7 linked regions of the Ovis aries genome follow. The protein of the gene in region 3 interacts with the protein of the main gene of each other region in a pairwise test. Links are inferred from orthologs where the notes say so. Each region holds a gene or a part of one and is shown on either strand. Other genes may lie near its edges. The genes, in order: ARHGEF5, AIRIM, TRIM54, OTUB2, TSHZ3, KLHL38 and FAM110A.

Region 1 (3,500 bases), on a different chromosome or scaffold from region 3:
CAGGGAGGACTCGTGAACTCAGGGGATCAAGGCAGGCCAAGGCCTGATTGTCAAGAGTGGACCGTCTCCACCCCGCCTTCTGCAGGACGGGTCTCCTGGCCTCCAGCCACATGCCGGTCAACCCACCCTTTGGCTTCCGTCGGCAGGTGTAAGAGTGATGCCCCCCCGGGCCTCGCTTTCAGTAACATGACGGCCCTTCTACACCCATCTTCCCCAACCACCCCATGGACTCCAGAGGTCCAGCGACCCACCTCTGAACCCGGGCTCTCAGAAGAGTCTGAAGCCCCTGCCAGAGGGTCTTGGAGAAGAACAGCCCCCCAGGAAGGAAGCAATGGCCTGAGGAAGTCAGAGGTAGGCCCAGCGAGGCAGCCAGAGAAATCGGGCCACAGCCTCCTGGAGAAGGCATCGAGCTGGCCCCATCGACGGGAGCCGAGAAGGCCAGCGGAGGATGGCAGTGAGGCGGTGGTGGTCCCCGGTGAGGGGTCGAGTAAGCACAAGGACTGGCACCGGCAGGGCCTGCGAAGACCCTCCATCCTCCCCGAGAGCCCTGTAGGTGAGTGCAGAGCCTGGACCACGGTGACCTCGCCTCAGAGCAGACTCTGTCCCGCTCTCCCCTCCTCATCCATCTTCCGTCCTCCAGGCTCCTGCTGGTCCCCCTGCTGGCTTCCCTCACCCACGTACCCAGCCCCAAGCAGAGGAAAGTCCTCTAGAACGTCTCTGAGCTCATGGCGAGGCTCTTTCTTCTCCCCTTCCTTCTCTCTCGCTCTATTGCGGTGTGTACTTTTATAGTGCATCTCTGTTTTCCAGCGTTGTTCTGGAACCTTCCCCCCCACAACCCCCCACCGCCGCTGCATACCTTCATTACCAACACTTGCTCGATGCCCTTCCGCTAGCAGAGAAGGCATCTTCTGCTTGTCCGGTTCACACTCTGCCGCAATGGGTGGGGATAGATCTCAAATGCTTTTGACTTGGGCTCTTCCCTTTCTCACAGATGCCCAGTTGAACCTTGAACCCACCCCCCATGGCTACAACTCCCACTCTAGGTCTTAGGTTCCTTGACTCTGTCTGAACAGCCCCTCGCAATCTCACTTTACCCGTTTTCTATTTTCAGACACAAGAGGTCCCGCCATGGAAGGATCCCCTGGCCTGTTGGACGCCATTGTTTTCCGGTGAGTCACCCTTTCTCCCAGTGGGCACAGTTTTCTCTCTTTCCTAGGATACTGAGATTTTTATTAGCTGACAAAGGTGCTGAGACCGTGTCTTTTCCAGGCGTAGGGAGGGGAAGGGACTGACACCAGGATTCCAGGATAGGGAGATCTTTCGTCTACCCGGTTCTTGCAGCTGAATCCCAATCTCCCATCCATCTAGACCCTTGGGCCGTGAACTAAACCCTGCTGTAAAATTTCAACCTGACATCCATAAGAGTGTCGAACTGTGCAAAAGTGCGTCAGGCTACAGCTTGCCTCTCCAGAGGCTCTGGCTGTGATATTCTGGCACGTGTCCCAGTGGTCAGAGATTATCTTATTTATAGTCACTTGGGGCTTCTCCGTGTCTGATGGTCAGCAAACACCATGGAGCCCTTCTTTATCCCACAGGGAGAAAAAGCCAAAGGAGGTGATGGGAAACTTTTCAAGACGGTGCTCCAAGCTCATCAACTCCTGTGAGTACCTTAAAACAGGCCTGTGGACCCCCGTGAGTGTTCTGCTTGAGCCGGAGAGGGGTTCATGGTCATCAGCGGTGGGACTTGGCCATCTGTAGGAAGAAATGCCAGGAGACCACGGGGCTTGATGACCTATCTCGGAGCCTCAACTCCCCATCTCCCTAACTCCCTCCCTCTCCTGCACCTCTTCACCCCTGTAGCCCCGCTGCTTTACCAGGAGTACAGTGATGTGTTTCTGAACAAGGAGATTCAGAGCCAGCAGCGGTTGGACAGCCTGACGGAGGCACCGGGGCCCATCTCGCTCCAGCAGCCCCGAAAGGCCCTGGTCTCCTCGGAGTCCTACCTGCATCGCCTCTCCATGGCCTCCAGCGGCTCGCTGTGGCAGGAGATCCCCGTGGTGCGCAACAGCACCGTGCTGCTCTCCATGACCCATGAAGACCAGAAGCTCCAGGAGGTACCACCAGGCGGGGTGGGGCAGGGGCTGCGGAAGGGAAAGCAGGGTCTCCTCTGTTCACGCCCGTGTCTCCTACTCAGCACCCCCACCACCACCACGAGCGGGCTGTCCCTACCACACTCACCACCACGACACTGGGTCACCCCCAGCTTTCTGGGCTCAAGTTGCTCTGTGAACATCACCACTCTCCCTCCTATCTACCTCCTTCTCGCTCCATCAACCATTTACTGCTCCATGCTATTGGTCTGAGCTCATACAAAGTGACCGTGCCCCTGAATTTGATGGGAGGAGTATACACTCAATCTCATTAGTCTAGCTTCAGGCTAGACTTAAATTTCCCTCTTCAACCAAAGGGTCAGCCTACACCGAAGTTTTCCTCTTCAACCAAGACGCATGCAGGGGCTTTTTGGTATTCCCTTGGTGAGTGGCCCTTGCAGCTGTTCTGTGGTTCATGGGTCTCAAAGAGGCTTTTGAATGACCATCAGGCTCTGCTTGGTCCTTCCTTCCAACAGCAAGACTACAGTAAAGGCTGTTGGTCTCATGTTAAGTTACTATCATTAATATATTTTACATGGAGCACTTATCTTAAAAATCAATCTAAAGTATGGGTTAAATCTTTCTTCCTGGAAAGACGATATGGCACATTGGAAAAGCATTATGGAACAATGTTTAAGCATTAGGTTCTGGCTTAAATGACCTGGACCCACTTTAATATTTGCCAGCTATTTAACTTAGGCCGAAATATTGAGCTGGCCAAAAAGTTCATTCAGGATTGTCCATAAGATGTTATAGAAAAGTCCAAATAAACTTTTTGGCTAGCCCAATACTTGATCTTTCCAAGCTTCTGTTTCATTTGTAAAAACTTGGTTGCAAAGAATTCCTGGGAGAATCAGAAAAAGATAGATTCTATTTACAGCATTTATAGCAGTATAATTTACAACGGCCAAGACAGGGAAGCAACCTATAAGTCCATTAACAAATGAAGGGCTAAAGAAGATGTGGTGTGTATACAAACAGACTCACAGACATAGAAAATAAATTTATAGTTACCAAGAAAGAGTATGAATTAGGAGCTTCGGTTTGGTAGATGCACACTACTATATATAAAATTATAAACAAGGACTAACTGTGTATCGGGGACTATATTCAATATTTTGTAATAACCTATAATGGAAAAGAATCTGTAAAAGGATATTTAGGTGTGTATGCATATGTATGTATCAGTCAGTTCAGTTCAGTCGCTCAGTCGTGTCCAGCTCTTTGCAACCCCATGGACTGCGGCACACCAGGCCTCCCTGTCCGTCATCAACTCCTGGAGTTCACTCAAACTCACGTCCATTGAGTCGGTGATGCCATCCAACCATCTCATCCTCTGTCGTCCCCTTC
Region 2 (4,082 bases), on a different chromosome or scaffold from region 3:
GTTATCCTTCCATCTGTGCTCTGGTAACAATCTATTCATTCATTCACTTTTAAATGGTTAGATAAAACACCACCCCCCTCAAAAAAAGAGTATTTCATGACACATGGAATCTGAAATCTGTCAAATTCACATTTCAGTGTTTCCATAAATAGATTTCTGTTGGAAAACAGCTATGCCCATTCATTACAGCTGTTTTTGAACTATAACAGCATGAGTAGTTTGGACAGAGAACCTTCTGGCCTACAAAGCCTAAAATACTTATTATCTCCTCCTTTAGAGAAAATATTTGCCTGCCTGCAGAGGAAGATGAGGGAAAGTGCTAAGAAGAAAAGCAGGGAGGTGAGACGGATCGGGGAGGAGTAGGCCTGCAATTTCCTTCTAAGACCTCATTGAGAAGATAAAAGCTGCCATGGTAACCACAGAAGGGCTCCAGGCCGAGGCCTGGGGAAAGACCAGGAGCTCTTACCGAAGTATTCGAGCCAGTTCATTTCGCGCAGCGCCTTGGGGAGTCGCAGGATCTCAATGTTGTACAGGTTATCCAACTCTTTGAGGAGGTTCTGCCTGTCTGACTGAATTTGCTTGGATCGCATTTGCACTGCGAGAGGGCAGAGAGGACACGGCACGGGTCACCCCGCGGGGAAAAGGTTCCCGGAATCCCTGCTGCCCGCGTCCCAGTCCTCCAGCACCCCGCGATTGCCCCCAAGTGACCGCGACCACCCGGGCTCCGCCCCTCACCTTCACGGTCGAAGTCCTTAAGAAAGGAGGCGAGCTTTCGGTTCCGCAGCACATTGGTCTTAGCCACCCGACTGCCGCCCTTCCTAGACGGAGCCATGGCCCTTCGATGGAGGCTGCGGGGAGCTAGGGGCGGAGGCACAAGGCGTCAGCGGCGGAGATGGTGAAGGAGAGGGGGCCGCAAGGGGGCGAGGGAGGGTGGAGGGCCCCCCTGGGGGTTTGAATTGGGGACCCCTGCCCTTCCGGGCCCGAGGAATAAAGGATTCGCGAGGCACCCACCTGCAGGTTCTGAAACCCGGGCTGAGGAAAAACCCGGCTGCTTCAGCCGAGAAGGAGCCGCTCCGGGACGAAAGCGACGTGAGACCGCCGCCACCAAATTCAAACTGCCAAAGGCTGGCCAATAAAAAGCCGCCGTCTTAGGAGGGTTTCACAACAGCCAATCACAGAGAAGCTTCGCAATTGGGCAGCCAGTCCACACGTAAACTACAGCACCCAGAAGGCATTGCGGTCCGACCGCATCTTTTTCGCGACTCTGTAACCACGTCTGGGCATGCGCAGAGACACAGCGGAGGTGTGCGGAGTCTTGGAATTTCCTTAAAGTGTTATTGCTTTAGTTTTGTTTTCCCGCTGGTTTAGAAGAGCGGCCGGAAACCTCAAGTAGAGGAGATAAGATTCTGGCTCCGGAAGCACGGATCGGCCCAGTGAACCTTCAGTCTGAAACTGCCCTAAGCCAAGGGGTAGGTTGAGCCTCTCTGAAGGTAAGACTCGCGCTAGAAACACCTGTCGGGAGGGATGGACGGCCCTACATGAGCAAACTTTGTTTAGCTGGACCTCTCTGAGAACGGAAATAACTCCCACCCTTGACTCGGCCCTTTGCCTGTCGACTTGGGACCCTAATGATATTTGTTTTTTCCTGGGTTTTGTTTTTGTTTTCACCCCTACAATAGAAGATGACTGAAGATCAGCCTTTGCTTGCCGTGCAGGAGGCCCTGAGGAAGTGCTTTCCTGTGGTGGACGAGCAGCAGGGCCTGTGGCAGAGTGCTCTGAGAGACTGCCCGCCCCTCCTGGCCTCCCTCAGCAACCTGGCAGAGCAGCTGCAAGCCACACAGAACCTGCGATTTGAGGATGTGCCCTCACTTCGGGCCTTCCCAGACCTAAAGGAGCGGCTGAGGCGCAAGCAGCTGGCGGCTGGTGACACTATCCTGGACAAGCTAGGAGAGAGGCTGTAAGAGGCACAGTGGCGCTCTTTCTTGGCCTAGAGATGTTAAAACTGGGTATTTAATAATCTAGGATCAGTGAGAAAGGGGGTTTTTCTCCTTAAGAGAATGGTATTTGGGGATGTGACAGCCTTACCCCCTTTCCATCTGTTGCAGTGGGACCTCTCTCTGTCAAAAAACCATTTTCTGGCATTTCCCTTATCAGCTAGGCATGACAGTGGTGGACTTAGTAAAAGTTACCAAAGCAGAACAGAAAAGCAATGGAGAAAGCTCATTGACCCTCCACTGTAGTTTTCCTTAGGTAGAAAGCAGCAGGAGTTACACTGTAAACTTAGTAGGTGCCAGCAGCAAGGATTTTACATACATTATCTCATAAAATCTTTTCAACAACTGTGACTTAACCTCACTTAATCCCATTTTTCAAGTGAGGAAACTGAGGCTCACGCAAATTGCCTGTGCTCAGGCAGTTAGTAAATAGTAAAGCTGGGATGCTCATCCGAGTGCCTCTGGCACTGGGGCCAGAAGCTCCTAACCACCGCTTTGTTCTGCTGTACATTGGTGTCTGAGCGAGGAGAAGCACCAATGTTAGGCCTTCGATCTTAGAATTACAGGTAATTGGGGATAGAGAAGAGAGAAGGCACATATGGCCTTCCCTTAACCAGGATGAAAGAAGGTTCTAGTGTGTAGGGTTTGCCATAGACTGATAGGAAACTCAAAGATGGGGGCCTTCTTTGTATTTATCTGTACTAAAAACATTAAGAACCCATGGGATGCAAAACACAGGTGCTAGGAATACAATGGAGAAGGCAATGGCACCCGACTCCAGTACTGTTGCCTGGAAAATCCCATGGATGGAAGAGCCTGGTAGGCTGCGATCCATGGGGTCTCAAAGAGTCGGACATGACTGAGTGACTTCACTTTCACTTTTCACTTTCATGCATTGGAGAAGGAAATGGCAACCCACTCCAGTGTTCTTGCCTGGAGAATCCCAGGGACAGGGGAGCCTGGTGGGCTGCCGTCTATGGGGTCGCACAGAGTTGGATACGACTGAAGCGACTTAGCAGCAGCAGCAGCAGCAGCAGCAGCAGGAATACAATAGTAAGGCCGACTTAGTTCCTAAGTTGAGTAAAAGAGTCAGTTAAGTTAGGTCATTATACATTCTAAGGTAGCGAACTTTTATTTCAGTTGATTACATGTTTTTATGTGGGTATTGGGCTGTTATTTTTAGCCTAGTTTTTATTGTGAGTCACAGTCAAACTTGAAAGCTGCAGTTCTAGGCTAGGGAGTTCCTTGCCCTTTGGGAAGTTGTAGCCTTCGTCTTATGGCTAGACCTCTTGGAGTCACTAATGGAATAATAACTTTTAAAATAATTATATAATAATTTTTAAAATAATCATGTAAAAATAATAAAATTTGCCATAAGCTAGGTACTTCCCTAATGGCTTAATATGCATTATTGTATTTACTCTTCACAACAGTCCTTTTCATTCACTGGACAAATGTTTGTTGCTTTGTCGGCCAGTCTCAGTGTTTTAGGTACTTAGGATGCACAGTGAACAAAAGAGACTTGTTTTTGTTCGTGATTGAGAATAAGTAACTTTCCTGAGATCGACAATAATCTGTGTGCGTCAAGAGCTCAAATTTTACCCATTCAGGAATTCACGAGGGTGGGGCACGATATAGCATGAGCGCAAGACTGCTCTATTGCTGTAGTTTCCTCTTGCTAATTCCTTTCACATATGTGGCCTTAGACTATGTGTGAACATTTCCTCTCCTTTATGGGAGTCCCAGAAAGCCTGCTTGGTCTTTACTATCTTTGGCAGCTGGGCCCATCACACAGCTTTTGAGAGTGATGTAACTTCAGCCTCATCATCTTTAAGTCAATTCTTAATTGTTAAGCCACCCCTCCATCCAAGGCACCTGGGACCAGTAGATCTCCTTCGGAGGCAGTTTTTCCCATTGGGATGTGTGGCAGTATCTGGAGACAGTATTGATTGCCACAGCTTGAGATGGGTGGGGACATAGTTTGCTTTTGTCATCTAGTAGGTAGAGGCCCAGGTTGCTGCTGAACAACCTACAACCTACAGTGCAGCCCTCCACCACAAAGAATCATCAGGTCCAAGATGTTCTTGG
Region 3 (3,500 bases):
CTTAGCCACTGGACCACCAGGGAAGTCCCTTTTCTACCATCTTTACAAGAAATTCTTGAGGGTTAAATTCAAGAATGTATGGAAAACCCCTAGCACAGTGCTTGACATATAATAGGTCCTCAAAACCTGTGTTGACTGTTAAATAATGAGTACGGAGGAAGGGCGCAGTGAGGGGCAGAGGTTAGAAGAAGCTTTAGGAGTCTGTCTTTGCTCTGGGGCAAGACTTTAGAATATGCCCCCTGGACTTCCCTGGTGGTCCAGCGGTTAAGAATCCACCTGCCAGTGCAAGGGACACTGGCTGGATTCCTGGTGTGGGAGGATCCCACATGCCACAGGGCCGATGCGCCACAACTATTGAGCCCAAGCTGCAACTACTGAAGCCCATGCACATACAGCCTGTGCCCTGCAACAAGCGAAGCCACCGAAATGAGACCACCACACACCACCACGAAGAGTGCTCTGCCCTCTGCAGCTAGAGGAACCCAAGTGCAGCAGTGAAGACCGAGCGCAGCCAAAAATAAAATAAAATAATTTACTTATATAAAAAATAATATGCCCCCTTTCCTCCCATTCAGACACCAAGCATATTCAAATGCTTGCCACCAGCAAATCAAAGAGAAGCAAGATTCCAGGAGTTTGCAGGTTTAGAGTTTTCCTGACACCACCTTGCTCACTTGGATTCTAAATACTGAAAGATAACTGTATCAAGCAAACAAAAGCCCAGTGATCTCACACTTTAACCCAGTCTTTAAGCTAAACTTAACAATATTCACACAATTCCAGTTACTAAGAAGGATTTATGTTTACTTACACAAACGCAGCCTTGGGATAATCTCAAGCTAATCTTTTTAGCTTTATGATGGGCTAAAATGTTAACTTACAATTTTCAAGAAATCCCGCCAAGGGCTTCCCTCAAGGTTCAGTGGTAAAGAATCTGCTGGCCAGTGCAGGAGACTCGGGTTCAATCCCTGGTCCAGGAAGATCTCACATGCTTCTGAGCAACTAAGCCCATGCGCCACAGCTACTGAGCCTGTGCTCTAGAGCCCGGAAGCCACGACTCCTGAAGCCCAAGCACTCTAGAGCCCGTGCTGCGACAAGAGAGGCTTCTCGGCTTCTGCGACGAGAAGCCTGTGCATTACAACTAGAGAGTAGCCCCTCTTGCCACAACTAGTGAAAAGCCCACACAGCAACAGAGACCCAGCAAACCCCCAAATAAATAAATAGATTAAAAAAAGAGAATCCTGCCAAAATGTGATAAGGATTTGGAGAAGTTTATAGAACCCAACTGTGGGAAATACATCTAAACACACAAAGTCACAGATGACCATCCTCTCCATCACTCTCTAGGAGTGTTCTTCCAGCCAATTAGGATTAGGTTCAGCTGTGAAAGACAGAAAACCAAAAATAACGGTGACTTCAAGTAGGTAAAACTTTTTTACTCTCCAGTGAAAGTGGGCAGTCCAGTTCTGCCTCATCAGAGACTCCTTTTATCTTGCCGTTCTCAGCATGTGGCTACTGCCTGGCTCTAGATGGCTGCTTCAGCCTACGCCATTTCATCTTCATTCTAGTCAGCAGGAAGGAGAAAAGAGGAGAAGTAGGGCGTGCCTTTCACATTGAAGATACTTCCTAGAAATTGCACAAAACATTTCTATCTATATCCCATTGGCCAGAACACAGTCACCTCGTCACACCCGGCTGGAAGGGAGGCTTGGTTGCATGGTCTTTATCCCAGGTGTCTTACTAAAAATCTAAGGTCTCTATTATTGAAGAAGAAGAAGAGGTGAATGTTGAGGAACAGCAAGCAGTCTCCACCTGTCTTTCCTCTCCACTTCTCTCCCCAGATCGATTCTTTCTCTTCCCTGCAGACCAGGCTTCTCTGTTCACAGTGTCTGACCCCTCACACTGCCCACTTGTACAGATTTCGGGATGGCCACAATGTCGGCTTTTAGCTCAACTCCACCGATCTTTTTTCAGTTCAAAAGCTGCACATGGTCTAGTCACGTCAGCCTCTGTGTCTCCATTCCAATTTCCTAGAAAGAAAAACTGATTGGTCCTATTGGGTCAGGTGACCGATCATGTCCTCAATTCTGAGCCAACGCTCTGTGGCCTCAGCCATGGCAGGGCTCTCCTTTTTAGGACAGGATGGAGCAGGTCCTCTCAGGGGTATAAATGGGAGGAACTGTTGATCCCATCTGGTGAGTTCTCCTTCCAAGCTTCCTCCTGTCGTAACACCCAGCCCACTGGATGGAGCTGTGAGTTTGCTCCTCCTGAGGGCAGGGATAGTCATCTTTTCCCCAGAGCCTAGCAATTACCTGGCACACTTAATATTTGTGGTAGAGTGAATAAACCAGTCTCATCCTTAATTGTGCAGAGGTTGAATGCTTGCCCAGACATGCACAGTAGGCACTACAGGAACAGCATGAGAACCCAGGAGCCCTGGTTCCCTGTGCCTGGAGAGATTTCCCTGGATTGCCTGACTCTACGTGTCTGCTCTGTTGTTCAGCATTTGTCTCTGTGCCCCTGCCCGGGGTTGCAAAGAATCTCCCCCACACGTGGCCCACGAGAGCCCTAGGCTGGAGGCTATGGGCTGCACCACTCAGGGTCCATTTCCCTTCTCAGTCTTCCTGCTGAGGTCAATGTCTCCCCACAGCTCCAAGCCGGGCCCCTTTGAGGAGGTCTTGTCCTGACAAGGCCTGATCAAGCTAGGCTCTGGATGCAGCAATACTCAAAGGGGTGGGCTGAGTAACGACACAAAGGTGGGAGAGATTTCCATGGCCACCCACCTGGGGCTGCTCTCAGAGGAGCACCCAGCCATAGAAAAGAACTTCCTTGGTGGTCCAGTGGTTAAGACTATGTGCTCCCAGTGCATGGGACACGGGTTCAATCCCTGCTTGGGGAACTAAGATCCCACATGCCATGCAGCACACCATGCCCCCCCCCCCCAAAAAAAAGAGCTGCTGCCTCCCCCTCCATCACTGTCCTACTCCCCAGCCCTGGTGACTTTCTCTCCCACCCCCTCCAATTCCCCCATAACTCACTGGGCCTTCCTCTCATGCTCTCTGCACCCACAGGCCTCAAACCCTCTGTGGCAGTCCCGAAGCTCCACCACTGTGTCTTCGGGGGGCCGTTTCCGCTGCCCATCTTGCAGGCACGAGGTGGTCCTGGACCGACATGGTGTCTACGGCCTGCAGCGGAACCTGCTCGTGGAGAATATTATCGACATTTACAAGCAGGAGTCCTCCCGGTGAGCTGTTAGCATCTCATTTATCTAAAATGCAGGGCCTGGGACATAGCCAGGGAGCCCATCAGGGCCAGCAGGGAGAAGCTGAAACGATCAACCTGTCCCTTCAGTTTAGTGACGAGAGGAGTGGACCTCAGAGAAGGAGGGACTTGCCCCCAGCTTGGTAGGTCACCAGCTCAGGTGGCCTCTGATTCCCGGTCAGCGCTTCCCCTTCTTCACCTGGCAGGAGCTGGCCATTTATCAGCAAGGTCCCTGCCAA
Region 4 (3,500 bases), on a different chromosome or scaffold from region 3:
GGTCCATCCATGATGGTGCAAAGAGAAATATTTCATTCTTTTTTGTGACTGAATATCTCCATTGCATATTATACACCACATCTTTATCCGTTCACCTACTGATGGGCACTTAGGTTCCTTCCACATCTTGACTATTGTAAACAGTGCTTCAATGAACATAGTGATGCTTGTATCTTTCCTAAAGAGTGCTTTTGTTTTCTTTGGATACATACCCTGAAGTGGAATGACATATGATAGTTCTGTCTTAATTTGTCTGAGGAATCTCCGCACTGTTCTCCTTAATGACTACACCAGCTTATAATCCCATCAGCAGTGCACCCCAGGTCCCCGTTTCCCCACATTCTCACCAATCTTGTTAGAAAGTGAGAGTTGCTCAGTTGTGTCCAACTTTTTGTGACCCCGTGGACTGTACAGTCCATGGAATTCTCCAGGCCAGAATACTGGAGTGGGGAGCCGTTCCCTTCTTCAGGGGATCTTCTCAACTCAGGGATCAAACCCAGGTCTCCTGCATTGCAGGCAGATTCTTTACCAGCTGAGCCACAAGGGAAGTCCCACCAACCTTGTCATTTGTCTTTTTGATAACAGCCATTCTAACAGAGGTGAGGTGATACCTCATTGTGGTTTTGATTCCCTGATGGTTAACGGTGTTGAAAATCTTCTCATGGACCTGTTGGCCATCCATATATCTTCTTTGGAAAAATATCTGTGCAGATCCTCTGCCCATTTTTCAATTGGGTTGTGTGTGTCTTGGATGTTGAGTTGTATGAATTCTTTATATATTTTGGATATTAACTCCTTATTCAGATATATCATTTGTAAATATCTTCTTCTTTTCAGTAAGTGGCCTTTTCCTTTTGTTGAAAGTTTCTTTGCTGTGCAAAAACTTTTTTTTTCTAAACAGGAATATTCATAGTAACTTTATTCATAATAGCCCCAAAGTGGAAACAACCCCCAAATCCATCAACTGACAAATGGAACAAAATATGGTATACTGTACCATAGAATATTATCTGACAACAAAAAGGAAACAAGTACTGATATGTGGTACAACATGGATGCTTCTTAAATACATTAAGTGAAAGAAATCAGTCATAAAAGACCAATCATATGATTCCACTTGTATGAAATGTTCAGAAGAGGTGAGTTTACACGCACAGGAAACAGATTCCCAGATGAAAAGCTTTTTGTTTTAATGTAGTCCCATTTGTTTGTTTCTGTTTGTGTTTTCCTTGCCTGAGGAGACAGATCCCCCCAAAATACAACTAAGACCAACGTCAAACGGCATACTGCCTGTGTTTTCCTCTAGAATTTTAATGGTTTTGGGTGTTACATTTAAGTCTTTAAACCATTTTGCATTTATTTTTGTGCACCGATGTATTACAGTCTATAAAATGAGTCAGTTCAGAAATTACAAGATGAGGGACTTCCCCGGTGGTCCAGGGGCTAGGACTCTGCACTGCCAATGCCAGGGTTCCAGGTTTGATCCCTGGTCAGGGAACTAGATCCCACATGCCACAGCTAAGAGTTCATGTGTTGCAACTAAGACCCAGCACAGCCAACTAAGTAAATATTTCCAAAAAATTTAAAACGAAAGAACTTACAAGATAATAACGCCTTTCACAATGGGGCTGACCCTGACTCCTGCCGGGGACCCTGGCTTCTGGGCTGCTAGTCACATACTCGCAGGTGCTTCTGTCCAGGGGAGGTAACATCCTGCAGCCAGCACGTGGTGGGCTTTCTATTGGTTTTCACCTGCAGTTGCTTTTGAAATTGTCACAGCTTTGCTCCTTTTTTCTGTCTTTCAGAGTGAAACATCTTTCAACCTAATATCAGAAAAATGTGACATTCTATCAATTCTTCGGGATCATCCTGAAAACAGAATCTACCAGAGGAAAATCCAGGTAAGGCAGAGGGTCAGGAGGAGGGGAGCCTAGATGAAATGGGCTGGAGTTGGGAGCAGAGACAAAGGTACCACTTTGAAGGTAAAAAGGCTTTGCCTTTGGACCAGGTTCCTGGACAAATTAAAGGCCTCCCAGAATAATGCAGTGTTGAGCATATTTACCTTAGTGAGAAATCCTTTAGTTGCAAAAAAAACCCCAAAAAACCCCAGCAGTTTTTGACCTCATTACAGGATTGCAAGGTCAGGACTTTTATTACCCACATTTCACAGCGGAGGGAACCAAGTTACGAAAATTAAATGGCTGGCCCACAATTCTACCGCGCATGTGTGGAGGAGCCGGCACTTGGGCCGAACAGCCTCAGCTCATAAAAGTAGTATTTGTAACCACTCTGTGAGCAGCTCTCTGGTGAGAAGGCCCACTCTGGCTGGACTCTGACAAAGGAGAGATGGCTGAAGGATGCAGGAACGGTTATGGGACTAGGAGGAACCTGGGTGTCCCCCTACTGCCCTCTGGCCACCTGCATTTGGGCAGGACTGTCTCCTGTGGCCGCTGGGAGCCCTTCCTGGGGCAGGAGTGAGAGCTGGGCTGCACATCTCATCCTCTGGGAGATGAGCTGGCTCTCCAGGGAGCCCTCCCTACAGCCTGCCTCTAGGGGGCTGTCAGCTCCACCCTGGTGGGAGCAGGGACTCCCTGATCCCTTAGAAACCACACTGGGCCGTCAGAATCCTGACCGTAGGCAGGCCCGGGAGGCAGCCGCGGCAGAAGCTGACAGCTCAGAGCAGAACTGGAGCAGGTGCCATGGGGACGCCACACTTCTTAAGAACCGCTCGGAGGACTGGCCAGACTGCTTGGCGATGTCCGAGGAGGCCTTTCCTACTGCCTGTGCAGCCTCCTGGCCCACCTCACAGCCACATGCACCCTCGCTGCCCCCACCAGGCACACCACTTCTCTCGGTGCGATTCCTCCAGGAAGTCTTCCTGGACTGCTGAAGTCTGGTGTAGATGCCACTGCTCCGCAGCACCCTGGTGCATCCCCTGTCCTCCTGTGACAGTTGTCCAACCGTCCATCATCCCCCTAGCCTGTAGGCTCCTCAGAGCGGGGCACGGCTCCCCGTTCACAGTGCCTCCTGCAGGTCGCACTCCACGTATTTTTATTTTTGTGGGATGAGAGTTGGGACACCATGGAGGGCCTCCAGTCTGAGAGGAGGGAGCAGATGTTGCCTGGGGGAGGTGGAACCCCACCCCTGACAGGACTCGATGGGGGTTCTGTTGGTACGGACACCCACATTTCCTCTGTCCCCCACAGGAACTCAGCAAAAGGTTCACCGCCATCCGCAAGACCAAGGGGGATGGCAACTGCTTCTACCGGGCCTTGGGCTACTCCTACCTGGAGTCTCTGCTGGGCAAGAGCAGGGAGATCCTCAAGTGAGTGCCGTGTGAGGGATGCCGGGCGGGCTGTGCTTCTGCTGCGTCGATTGGCCCTGAACCTCCCTGAGGGTTTGGTCTCAGCGCAGCCTGCTTAGCCCAGGGAGTGAGTTGCGGCATTGACATCGAGGGGATGCCCAGCGGCCCTCGTGGTGGAAGTGAGGGCAGCCAAGGG
Region 5 (2,524 bases), on a different chromosome or scaffold from region 3:
TCAAAAACTTGGACACCGGCCACCCTGTGTTCTTTTGTAATGACTGCGCGTCACAAATCAGGACTCCATCCACGTACATCAGCCACCTCGAGTCACACCTGGGCTTCCGGCTACGGGATTTGTCCAAACTGTCCACTGAACAGATTAACAATCAGATAGCACAAACCAAGTCACCATCAGAAAAACTGGTGACGTCCTCCCCCGAGGAGGACCTGGGGACCTCCTACCAGTGCAAACTTTGCAATCGGACCTTTGCAAGCAAGCATGCAGTTAAACTTCACCTCAGCAAAACACACGGGAAGTCCCCTGAGGACCACCTTCTGTATGTTTCTGAGTTAGAGAAGCAGTAGCGTTTGCTTTTGATTAAAGTGACTGTAATTCGCTTTGAGGGAAACTGTTGCAGGCACCTTAAGGCCCCCCTGTCTTGTTCTTGGCACATGTTCTTATTTTAACTGCAGAGAATCACTCTGGGCTGGACTGTTTTGTATAACTGTACAGTGTTTAATAGAGGTGCATACTCAGCTGTTGTTACTGGTAAAATATGAAGGTTAAAACGCAGTGGTAAGTGTTTGGAACTTTGTGTAAATGGGATTTAGTTGTGAGCATCCCCTGATGCTTCAAGCTGCATGCATTAACAGACAGTTTAATTAAGCATTTATGACGAAACCGGGCACACTTTTCCACGTGGCTCAAGTGTGCTGGCATTTTTCACCCTTTCATCTTTAGCCCTCTGAGTACTTTGAAGCACTTTTGCATTAATTTGGTTAAAAAATAAAATAATAATAATAATGTATGAAGCTCTGTTTTTTAAACTCCTTACCAGCTTAGTTATAATTAATAATATGAACCTCCATTTATGCAGGTCTGCAGGGGTATAACACGCCTTGAAATTTAAAAGAATATTATTTTCACATTGAAACATAGATGTATATATTGTATAGATTTCAGACTCTCTTATGAAAAATGTGATTGTGGGTAAATGACCTTTTTTCCTGCATTTATAGCAACAGTGTTTTATGTACCTGCTATGCTCTGGGCATAAGCTGTGCCTATGTATAGTGTATATTTCTTTTTCTTTTTTTTTTAAGGTCTATGGGTTTTGTTTTTTACATGCAAACATTGTAAATTATACAGAAGATACCACAGATAGCATTTATAAAGTATACAGAAACATTATCTGAAAGCAAAGTATGATTGTTTGTTTTGCTATACAGTACATCTATATTGATAGAGGTTCACGTTTAAATTATACATATTTATTAGCATCATATTATCATTTGTTTTGAGCAGTCTGAATAAACGAGGCCAGGAGATCCATCCATGGCAGGCATCATAACTATTTTGCACATTATTTTTAAAGGTATTTATTAGAAATCAAAAAAAAAATGCTCAAAATAAACTCAGTGCTCAAAGGGTTAAGTCTATTTGAAAAGGAAAAAAAAAGAACAAAAAAAAAAGAGAGAGAGAGAACTTGTACTGTATTTCCTAAACATTGATAAAGCCTTTAAAATGTTTGTACTGTAATACTTTGCTTAAAAGTCACGAGGCATTCTGTGATACAACCTCTTTTACTTATTTATAAGCCCTCTTGGTTGCTGTTCCATATTGTAGGACGCCTTTTTATTTCAATTGGTAACTTTCTGTTTTGTTCTTCCTAATTATTCTCCCAAGATCCCACACTGCAGCTTTATCTTTAGGCTTATGAAAGGTAACCCGTGGTTACCGGCTCTCCAAGTGATTCTGTTCTTCTCCATTTTTGGCAGTTAATTTGCAGAAGTAACTGACAGCTGACACCATATGAGAACCTATGTATAAAATATTGGCATGTAAACAGCACAGACACTCTGTGCCCTGTTTTGTTGTTGACAATGAACCACCATTATGTGACTCTTCATATAACCCTCTTTTCTACGGCAGCATTAAAATTGTCTTTTTGCTATAATTTTGTGTTGCGTTCACAATTATGTCTGAAATGTGCTACGACTAACGAGCACATTAAAATTAAATTGTATGCGATCTGTTTATGACTGAGTTGGTTGCTGTGTCTGCCAGGTGCTGGCAGTCGGAAGCCGCCCGTAAATCAAGGGAGTTTTAGTGAACTTTGGGCTTGGAGAGCAGCGAGCATTCACTCAGAGGCGGCGTGGACAGAATTTTCCCCAAGAATAAAAATGTAAAAGAAAGGAAGATGTTCCCGTGGGGTTAGATTCTTGCTGGGAAGGCGATGTTATCAAGTATCCGTAGTGGAGCTTCGGTCACACCTGGCGACCCGCATGGGGGCGGGAGCTGGGTCTCCCATCTGGATGAGAGAAGTCCAAGTCAGGGCCCTGAGCCCTGCCCATGGCAGATGGGAGGAAAGGTTTTTGGAAGGCTCGGTGCAGGGCGATTCCTTCCTGTTGATTTGGGATTTTCAAGGAGCCCAGCTGGGCAGGTGGGCTGGGCATGCTCTCTCTTCTGTGCTAAAGTGAGCGCAGATAACGAGGTGTCGGGGGGCGGGGAGCCTGAACCCATCCACGGGAGGAGTGGG
Region 6 (3,934 bases), on a different chromosome or scaffold from region 3:
TGTGGTGGTGACAGGGTGGATGTACTGGAGGGAGAGACAAGGAGCGAGGGTTAGGAGCAACTGTTGCAATAATCCCAGCAAGACTTGAGAAGGAGAGAAAGCCAGGCTTCCCTGCCATCATTCACTGCTGGTACCCTCAATCAGGACCTCCCTGGACGGAGAGGCAAGATAGATTCAGGGTCCCTTTAACTCACCCTGGCAGCTCTACAGCCCTCCAGAATGGCTCTAATTCTTATATTTGGAGATTGCATCCTACTCCATCACCATCAGCATTCTCCTTCTCTTCTTCCTCCCCCTCCTCTTTCTTCTCCTTCCTTTCATCCTCACTCACTCACTCACTCTCTCTCTCTCTCTCTCCTGCCCACACTCTGCTCCTGGAGCAACACAGTTTCCTCCTTCCTCTAGCTCAAGCCTCTCTGATGGGAAAAATTGGAAAAATAAAACAGAAAAGCAAGCCTGAAATATTTTTTTTTTAATGAACTGAAGAACAGTCAGCAGGGCTCTGGTGAGAAGCAGGTGTGACCCACAAGAGTACTGCCCCGGCCACTTTAAAACAGAAGCCCCTGTGATAAGGAGGATCCACAATGCTTTGGTCTCCCCCAAGTCTGGAAACCCTGGGGGTGCTCCACAAATATCTAAAACAATTTTCATCACAGAGACCATCACCTTGGAGCTTGGAGGAGGAACTCACAGCCCTTCTCCAACAATCCTGCCCGCAGACAGTAGGAAATAGAGACCAACTGAGCAATGCCCTTGGGCCCCCATGTTCTGGCTTCCCTGTGACCATCTGCCACCTTAAACTCACCCAGAACTATCTTCAGTGACTTTTCCCAGGTCACAGCAACCTGTTTACAGACATCTAGAATTCCCAGGCACTTTTAGGACAAGGCATTCAGGATGTGTCCAAGTGGGCAGCAAAGTCTTGTCTAAGAGAAGTTGTTCCTCCAAATCTATTTCTGCCCATGTAAACATCTGCCAAGGAAACAAGGCATGTGGGCATGCGCTGGGCCCACAGGCCCTCGGGTTGCTGCAAAAGGCAAATGGAAAGTCACATGTCATAACAGTGGAAAGTACATACGCAACTATTCTTAGCCCTGGAATGTATACACGGTCTCTCTGCCCAGCAGTTCTTTCACAAAGCTCTAGAAAACTGTGAAAGCGCCTTCAGCATAAACAAATCCAGAATTCTCCCAGGACAAATTATTTGCCAGCTTAAGGAAAGGCCTGGTTTTATGGTTTCACTTGGAGCCAGAGGTGGAAAGTCTCCGGAGGGACCAGCCGCGGCAGGTATCGATGGTTTTCACTGCAGGAAAACGAGGTAAATAGCTCTAATGTTTAATTCTTCTGCAGGTGAACGGGTGGCCAGATGTCATCCAATAAACCCTGCCCAGGGTACCGTCGGTCTCTGCTTTCTATTTATCTCATTTTAAAAACAAAAGCCACAAGACTCCGTGAGGTCATGTTTAAAAATAAAAACAAAACATTGCAAAGATCCATTTCCATCCCTCATTTCTGTCTCGATACCAGAGGCCACGCCCCCAGCATGACATCCGTGGGGAATGACTAACACCCGGAAAGATGTTTGGATGAGTTTACTAAGTAAGAGATATGCTGAGAATCCGGAGAAAAGTTCACAGACTTATGCTTCAAATGCACAGACTGTCATTTTGCTTCAAGCTAACGTTTTAGCCCCTGTAACCACTTACCACCTTCAACTCTCCCAACTTACCACCTGCTCTCTCTCTCTTCTAAATTTTTTTTCTTTTCTTTTCTTTTTTCAGATTGTCTGCAGATGCTATTTCTCTGTTACCTCTGAGAATAATCATAACCAAATAGAGAGATTTTCGCTGAGGCCCGTACACTAGGTGGTCCCATTTTCCAGTCTTCACTAAGGCGTATTCTTGGTGGTACCCACAAAGAGCTTAGTGAATGGACAGATAGATGTGCTGTAAGTCTCGGAGCCGCCACAGCTTAACCCTCCAGGACGACCTCCTTCTTGGGACTTCTCCCCGTCTTTACAGGATGGACATGGAGTCATCAGAGGGGCTCCTCTTCAAAGACCATGACTTCTCCTCTGACTTGCTGAGGCAGCTCAACGACTTGAGGCAAAATCGGATCCTGACCGACGTAAGCATCTGCGCCGGGGCCCGGGAGGTCCCCTGCCACCGCAACGTGCTGGCCTCCAGCAGTCCCTACTTCAGGGCCATGTTCTGCAGCAACTTCCGGGAGAGCCGAGAGGCCAAGGTCCAGCTGAAAGGCATCGATGCCTCGACTCTGGAGCGAATCGTCCTGTATGTGTACACGGGTGAGGCGCACATCACTGTGGAAAGTGTCCTGCCCCTGATGGAGGCCGCATCCATGCTGCAGTACCCCAAGCTGCTCGAGGCCTGCTCCTCCTTCCTCCAGAGCCAGCTGAGCCCCAGCAACTGCCTGGGCATGACTAGACTCTCTGAAATCTTCAGCTGTGAGACCCTCCGGAAGAAAGCCAGGGAGGTGGCCCTGACATATTTCCCAGAAGTGGCCGCGTCGGCTGACCTGAAGGAGCTCTGTGCCTTGGAACTGAGAGACTACCTGGGGGACGATGGGCTGTGTGGGGAGGAGGAGAAGGTGTTCGAGGCCCTCATGGTTTGGATCAAGCATGACCTCCAGACCCGGAAGCGATACGTGCAGGAACTGTTCAAGCAGGTCAGGCTGCAGTACGTCCACCCGGCCTTCTTCCACCACTTCATCGCCAACGACGCCCTCCTCCAGTCTTCGCCCCCCTGCCAGACCATCCTGGAGACCGCCAAGAGGCAGGTGTTTTCTCTGTACAGCACCGCTAGTTCTGCGGGCCTCCAACCTCTGTGGCATGTCCCGCCAAGAAACTCTTACCAAGACTTCCTCATCCTCTTGGGTGGAAGGAAGGACAACCAGCAGACCACCAGGGATGTCCTGCTGTACGACGGACAGACTGGCCGGTGGCAGAGCCTTGCCAAACTCCCGGCCCGCCTGTACAAGGCCTCAGCCGTCTCCTTGCACCGCGGCATCTACGTGCTGGGGGGCATGGCTGTGGGGAAGAGTGTGCCCAGTGCCAAGGTCTACGTCTTCTCCCTGAAACTGAATCAGTGGAGGCCAGGGCAGCCCATGCTGGCGGCCCGCTACTCCCACAGAAGCGCTGCCCACAAGAACTTCATCTTCTCCATCGGGGGGATTGGTGAGGGGCACGAGGTCATGGGCTCCATGGAGAGATATGACAGTGTCGGCAACGTCTGGGAGAGGATGGCCAGCATGCCAGTGGGGGTCCTCCACCCTGCGGTTGCTGTGAAAGACCAGAGACTCTACCTTTTTGGGGGAGAAGACATCATGCAGAATCCTGTGCGCCTTATCCAGGTAAACAGTACTTCCCACCATACAAGTGCACACACACACACACACACACACGTATGCATACATGTATCCAGGTAAATGGTTCTTCCCACTATGTCTACACACACCTACAAACAAGCACATTCATGCACACACACATATGTACAGATGCATGCATGACACATATGCTCACACGTGTGTGCACTGCATGCACACGCATGTATACATGTGTGCATGTGCAAACACATGTGTACATACACAGATACATGAATACACACATACCTATGCACATATATGCGTATTATACATGCTTGTTAGTTGCAAGGGAAGGATAAAGGAGGAAGGGAGGGAGGAAGGAAGGAAGTTTAATTTCAGCAAGATCTTATCCATTTATGAATTCTTTTGGGTAAGGTCAATACATACAAAGGTACATCAGATACCTCTAAAGGATCTAGCTGCTACTGCTACTGCTGCTAAGTCACTTCAGTCATGTCCGACTCTGTGTGACCCCATAGACAGCAGCCCACCAGGCTCCCCCCTCCCTGGGATTCTCCAGGCAAGAACACTGGAGTGGGCTGCCATTTCCTTC
Region 7 (3,927 bases), on a different chromosome or scaffold from region 3:
TGAAACATACTTTTGAAAAATTCAATCTTTCTTAGTGCTAAATATATTTTAATCATATCATTTTTAATGACTGTATAATATTCCTCAGCAAAAAGTGAGGATATTTAAAGGTACTTATCAGAGGGTTATGCCATGAGCAGTGATGAGAGTTTTGTCATGCAAAGCTTCTGGTATATATAAAAACCTCAATAAATTCAGTTCTTCCGCAGGATGGATTTATATAACCAATTTCCTTTCACTGAGCACTTAAGTTATTTTCATTATTTTGCCATGATAAAGAACGCAGGGCATATTAATCTTCGCTCACATCCTTAGTAAATTTCGGGACTGCTGGGCATGCCCATCTTCACACTAACTTGCTCAGCATTGAGCAGTTAGAGGAACAGACAGGAAAACTGGCTTGCACTGGTTCACATAGCCTGTCAGCTGAAGTCAGGACTGCTGCTGCTGCTGCTAAGTCGCTTCAGTCGTGTCCGACTCTGTGCGACCCCAGAGACGGCGGCCCATCAGGCTCCCCCGTCCCTGGGATTCTCCAGGCAAGAACGCTGGAGTGGGTTGCCATTTCCTTCTCCAATGCATGAAAGTGAAAAGTGAAAGTGAAGTCGCTCAGTCGTGTCCGACTCTTAGCGACCCCTTGGGCCCACCAGGGTCCTCCGTCCATCAGCTAAGTCCCGGGTGAACAAGAGAAAGAATTAGCCGCTTGAGCTAAAGGGGCTGCTCAAAGAACCTGAGACCACCGGGAAGCTGAAGGGCGGGGAGGGACTGAGAAGGCAGGGCGCTCCCACGCCAGGCCGAAGCTAAGCCGTTGCCTGGCAATGCGGGCGGCGCGGAGTTCGAACGGAAGCGAGAAACCAATCAGGATGTCCGGGGCAAACCATTCTGGTGTCGGGGAGGGGGGTGAAGCGACGCGCTCATTTCCCCTTCCCCCGGTGCCCCGGGGTTTTCGCTTCCCCTCTGTGCCCCCAGACCTTCGCTCTGTCTGGGACCTTGGGACAGTCAGGTTCTCCGGCTTATCTCGGGTGCGGAGCACAGCTCCGAAGAGGCCCCCGCGGGTCCTCACGTGGGGCTTGGGCCTCCCGAGCCGTGTTGGGTGCGGCCATTCCCCGCCTGACTGGGTCCGAGCTGTCAGCCTCCTCAAGACCCACACTGGAGGAGCGGGACTCGCCTAGGCGAGGCTCCTTGTGAGGGCACGGGTGGTCCGGGGCGCGAACCCGGGTGTAAGGGGGCGCTGTATTCACCCCTGCGGTGCGTGTTCTCTCCGAGTCCTACGAGGGTACCCCATTTCACAGATGAGAACGCTGAGGCTCAGAAAGACGAAGTCTGGCAGAGAATCTGATTCAGATCTTTCTGCTCCATCTCGCAGTCTCTAGCATAATAGTTCTAGATTTGCCTTGAGAGACCCTGACAGGTAACTGGTGGTCGCTTTCTTAGCCTCTGATCAACAGGAGCATGAGAGCCCTGGCTGCATCCGCTCCAGGCTGCCTCTCCCCAGCGTCGGCCTGGGGTCTTCTCCCCACCATCTGTCTTCATTTCTCCAGAAAGCCAGGGGTGGACTTGGGGCTCACTTGAGATCCTTCAGCTTGCAGGGCTCTGAATTACAGAGCTCTCCCTCTCAGAGAGAAGATACGGGTGGCTCAGGCAGGACTGACATTTCTGAGCTAGGTGCCAGGTGGGGAGCAGATGCTTTGGCCCTGGAATTGCTGTAGGACTCTTGGGAATCTACTGCGGGTTGGGCAAAAGGGTAGGCACAGCCCTCAGCCAAAGACGCTAGTCACCAGAGACACTGGACTTGGTCCTGGGCCCAGGACCGCTCCTGGTAGAGCATCTGACCTACACCAGGCCTTACCTCCTGGGGAACCCCCTCCCCACCTGCTGGTTGCTATGGGTTTCCTTTCGTAGGTGGGCAAACTGAGGTTCTAAAAAGTTAAGCCCCTTTGCCCAAAACCACATGGTCAGACTTGGCAACTCTGGGGCTGGTTCCCAATCTGTCTGGCTTCCATCTTAGAATCCTAGACACTCAGAATTGTAGCATCTGGGAGTCTAGAATCTCTTCAAGGGGAATTATTTATCCTCTCTCCTCCAAACCAGTCTCCTGGCTTTAAAGGGAGCAGAGCTCTGGAAATTCAGAAAGAAAACAAGTCTTCATTCTTTCAACAAATATTTACTCACTTCATATGCTCTGCCTTGTCTATTTTGTTTTTCTCAGTAGCATTTACCCCATCCAATGTCCTATAATTTCACTTATTAGCGAGTTTATTATCTTCCCGGACTGGAATGTGTTGCAGGGAAGGGTTAGGGTGAGGTAAATGAGGTAATCGCCTCCAGTGTGAAACTGAGGGGTGCCCAAAGCCCTAGGAATCAAAATGACTAATGCTAACATTTATTGATCATTTTTGTGTGTTCTGCTGGTGGGAGATCAACTCCCTGGATCACAGTCCCTCATCTCTGTCACAATTACACATGCACCCCCTGACCTAGCTGTCCCACTTCTGGGCAGAATGATATAGGTGCAGTGAGCCCACAGTGTGGGGTTTTTGGGTTTTTTAAGGCTCTGCCTGAGAACTCTTTTATTTATTTGTTTATTTTTGGCTGGGCTGGGTGTTCGTTGCTGCCTGGGCTTTCTCTAGTTGCAGGCTTATCATTGTGGTGGCTTTTCTTGCTGTGGATCATGGGCTCTAGAACTTGGAGGCTTCTTTTGTTGTGGCCTAGTTGCTCCATGGCACGTGGGATCTTCTACCAGGGGTAGAAGCCATGTCCCCTGCATTGGCAGGCAGATTCTTAACCACTGGCCCACCAGGGAAGTCCCACAGTGTGGTTTTTAATAGAGACTAGACACACGCTCAGTGGCCATTGGTAGGGACTGATGGGCTCTTTATGTAGTACAACATATATTATTTTGTTAATAACATTATAATTAATAACATGCTAATAACATATTAAGAACATATATTATTCAATGAAAGAATAAATGAAAACAATGCACAGAACATGTTGCTATGTGTAAAAAAAATAGAATATATGTCCATTGTTGCTTGTATGTGCCTGAAATCTCCCTGGAAGGACATATAACCATCTGATCATAATGATTCTTGCAGGGAGGGGAACTGGGTGGCTGGGGATAGGAGTGGAGGGAGGTGTTTTTCTTTTTTTAATTTCCTTTACAGCTTATGAATCTTAAGCCATGCACATGTATCACCTGGTTGAAAAAATATGTGTGTATTATAGATTGTTTATCTAATCATGAGACCACTGCCCTGTCTATGATCTGTCATTAACTTTCTTGTGACTTTGGACAAGGTTCTTGACATCTCTGCGCCGAGAAAAGAAGCCATGATGGTGCGCTTCGGCCCAGGCAGAGGGCAGTCCGGGACAGGAAGTGGGCTTGGTTGTGGGTCTGTCCCAACTCCACCTTCCGCATCCTGTGTGCCAGGCCCTTCCCTAAGGCTTTGCGCGCAGTATCTCTCTTAGTCTGCACTGCGAGTCCCTTTGTCCTCATTTGGCAAGCTCAGGTGCAGACCTGAGGCCCAGAGGACTGAGTTGGTGGAGGTGTGCAGTTGGTGGGCCAAACGGGAGATTGCTGCCTTAGGCAGCTGCACCCACACCGCTTCTGTGGCCTGTTTACCTTTCTCTTCCTGAGGTTTGTGCAAGGTTGCCCTGGGCAAGGCTGACTGCAGGCAGGCCAGGGCACGAACATCTGGGAAAACTCCAGAAATAGTGTGGGGCCTGGCGTGGGCCTGGAGGATGCCCAGCTGGGTGTCTCTGGCCCTGGCAGCTGTCCTGGAGTCTTCTGCTGCCTGGAGCCTTCCTGGCTCCCTCTGGGGCAGGAGAGGGCCTCTCTGTCTCCACCGAAGTCTGGGCTGGACTTCTGCTAAGGAAAAGGAGAAGCAGGTGGAAGGGAGGGGTGAGGTGGAAGTGCACAATGTCATA

What was found.
Region 1: the proteins of TRIM54 (region 3) and ARHGEF5 interact in binary tests that used the Homo sapiens proteins (3 or more experiments, as listed by UniProt). The two-hybrid records come from large-scale screens. The link is inferred for Ovis aries from reciprocal best matches to the Homo sapiens genes TRIM54 and ARHGEF5.
Region 2: the proteins of TRIM54 (region 3) and AIRIM interact in binary tests that used the Homo sapiens proteins (3 or more experiments, as listed by UniProt). The two-hybrid records come from large-scale screens. The link is inferred for Ovis aries from reciprocal best matches to the Homo sapiens genes TRIM54 and AIRIM.
Region 4: the proteins of TRIM54 (region 3) and OTUB2 interact in binary tests that used the Homo sapiens proteins (3 or more experiments, as listed by UniProt). The two-hybrid records come from large-scale screens. The link is inferred for Ovis aries from reciprocal best matches to the Homo sapiens genes TRIM54 and OTUB2.
Region 5: the proteins of TRIM54 (region 3) and TSHZ3 interact in binary tests that used the Homo sapiens proteins (3 or more experiments, as listed by UniProt). The two-hybrid records come from large-scale screens. The link is inferred for Ovis aries from reciprocal best matches to the Homo sapiens genes TRIM54 and TSHZ3.
Region 6: the proteins of TRIM54 (region 3) and KLHL38 interact in binary tests that used the Homo sapiens proteins (3 or more experiments, as listed by UniProt). The two-hybrid records come from large-scale screens. The link is inferred for Ovis aries from reciprocal best matches to the Homo sapiens genes TRIM54 and KLHL38.
Region 7: the proteins of TRIM54 (region 3) and FAM110A interact in binary tests that used the Homo sapiens proteins (3 or more experiments, as listed by UniProt). The two-hybrid records come from large-scale screens. The link is inferred for Ovis aries from reciprocal best matches to the Homo sapiens genes TRIM54 and FAM110A.

The regions. Positions count from the first base shown.
Region 1 is NC_056057.1:108,786,036-108,789,535, forward strand, and holds part of ARHGEF5 (rho guanine nucleotide exchange factor 5), read left to right. Parts: coding exon 1-553; intron 554-1,111; coding exon 1,112-1,169; intron 1,170-1,595; coding exon 1,596-1,660; intron 1,661-1,860; coding exon 1,861-2,114; intron 2,115-3,500. UniProt on the Homo sapiens protein: Guanine nucleotide exchange factor which activates Rho GTPases. Strongly activates RHOA. Also strongly activates RHOB, weakly activates RHOC and RHOG and shows no effect on RHOD, RHOV, RHOQ or RAC1.
Region 2 is NC_056054.1:12,499,422-12,503,503, reverse strand, and holds the start of AIRIM (AFG2-interacting ribosome maturation factor), read left to right. Parts: upstream 1-1,282; 5' UTR 1,283-1,469; exon of another isoform or gene 1,470-1,490; intron 1,491-1,679; 5' UTR 1,680-1,682; coding exon 1,683-1,957; intron 1,958-4,082. Other genes in the region: CDCA8 (borealin), read right to left, coding at 467-595, 736-832. UniProt on the Homo sapiens protein: Part of the 55LCC heterohexameric ATPase complex which is chromatin-associated and promotes replisome proteostasis to maintain replication fork progression and genome stability.
Region 3 is NC_056056.1:34,374,736-34,378,235, forward strand, and holds part of TRIM54 (tripartite motif-containing protein 54), read left to right. Parts: exon of another isoform or gene 1-528; intron 529-3,071; coding exon 3,072-3,244; intron 3,245-3,500. UniProt on the Homo sapiens protein: May bind and stabilize microtubules during myotubes formation.
Region 4 is NC_056071.1:56,431,910-56,435,409, forward strand, and holds part of OTUB2 (ubiquitin thioesterase OTUB2), read left to right. Parts: intron 1-1,805; coding exon 1,806-1,901; intron 1,902-3,206; coding exon 3,207-3,325; intron 3,326-3,500. UniProt on the Homo sapiens protein: Hydrolase that can remove conjugated ubiquitin from proteins in vitro and may therefore play an important regulatory role at the level of protein turnover by preventing degradation.
Region 5 is NC_056067.1:41,338,294-41,340,817, reverse strand, and holds the end of TSHZ3 (teashirt homolog 3), read left to right. Parts: coding exon 1-350; 3' UTR 351-2,024; downstream 2,025-2,524. UniProt on the Homo sapiens protein: Transcriptional regulator involved in developmental processes. Functions in association with APBB1, SET and HDAC factors as a transcriptional repressor, that inhibits the expression of CASP4.
Region 6 is NC_056062.1:29,254,797-29,258,730, forward strand, and holds the start of KLHL38 (kelch-like protein 38), read left to right. Parts: upstream 1-1,134; 5' UTR 1,135-1,318; intron 1,319-1,781; 5' UTR 1,782-1,941; coding exon 1,942-3,369; intron 3,370-3,934.
Region 7 is NC_056066.1:59,933,525-59,937,451, reverse strand, and holds the start of FAM110A (protein FAM110A), read left to right. Parts: upstream 1-1,127; 5' UTR 1,128-3,927.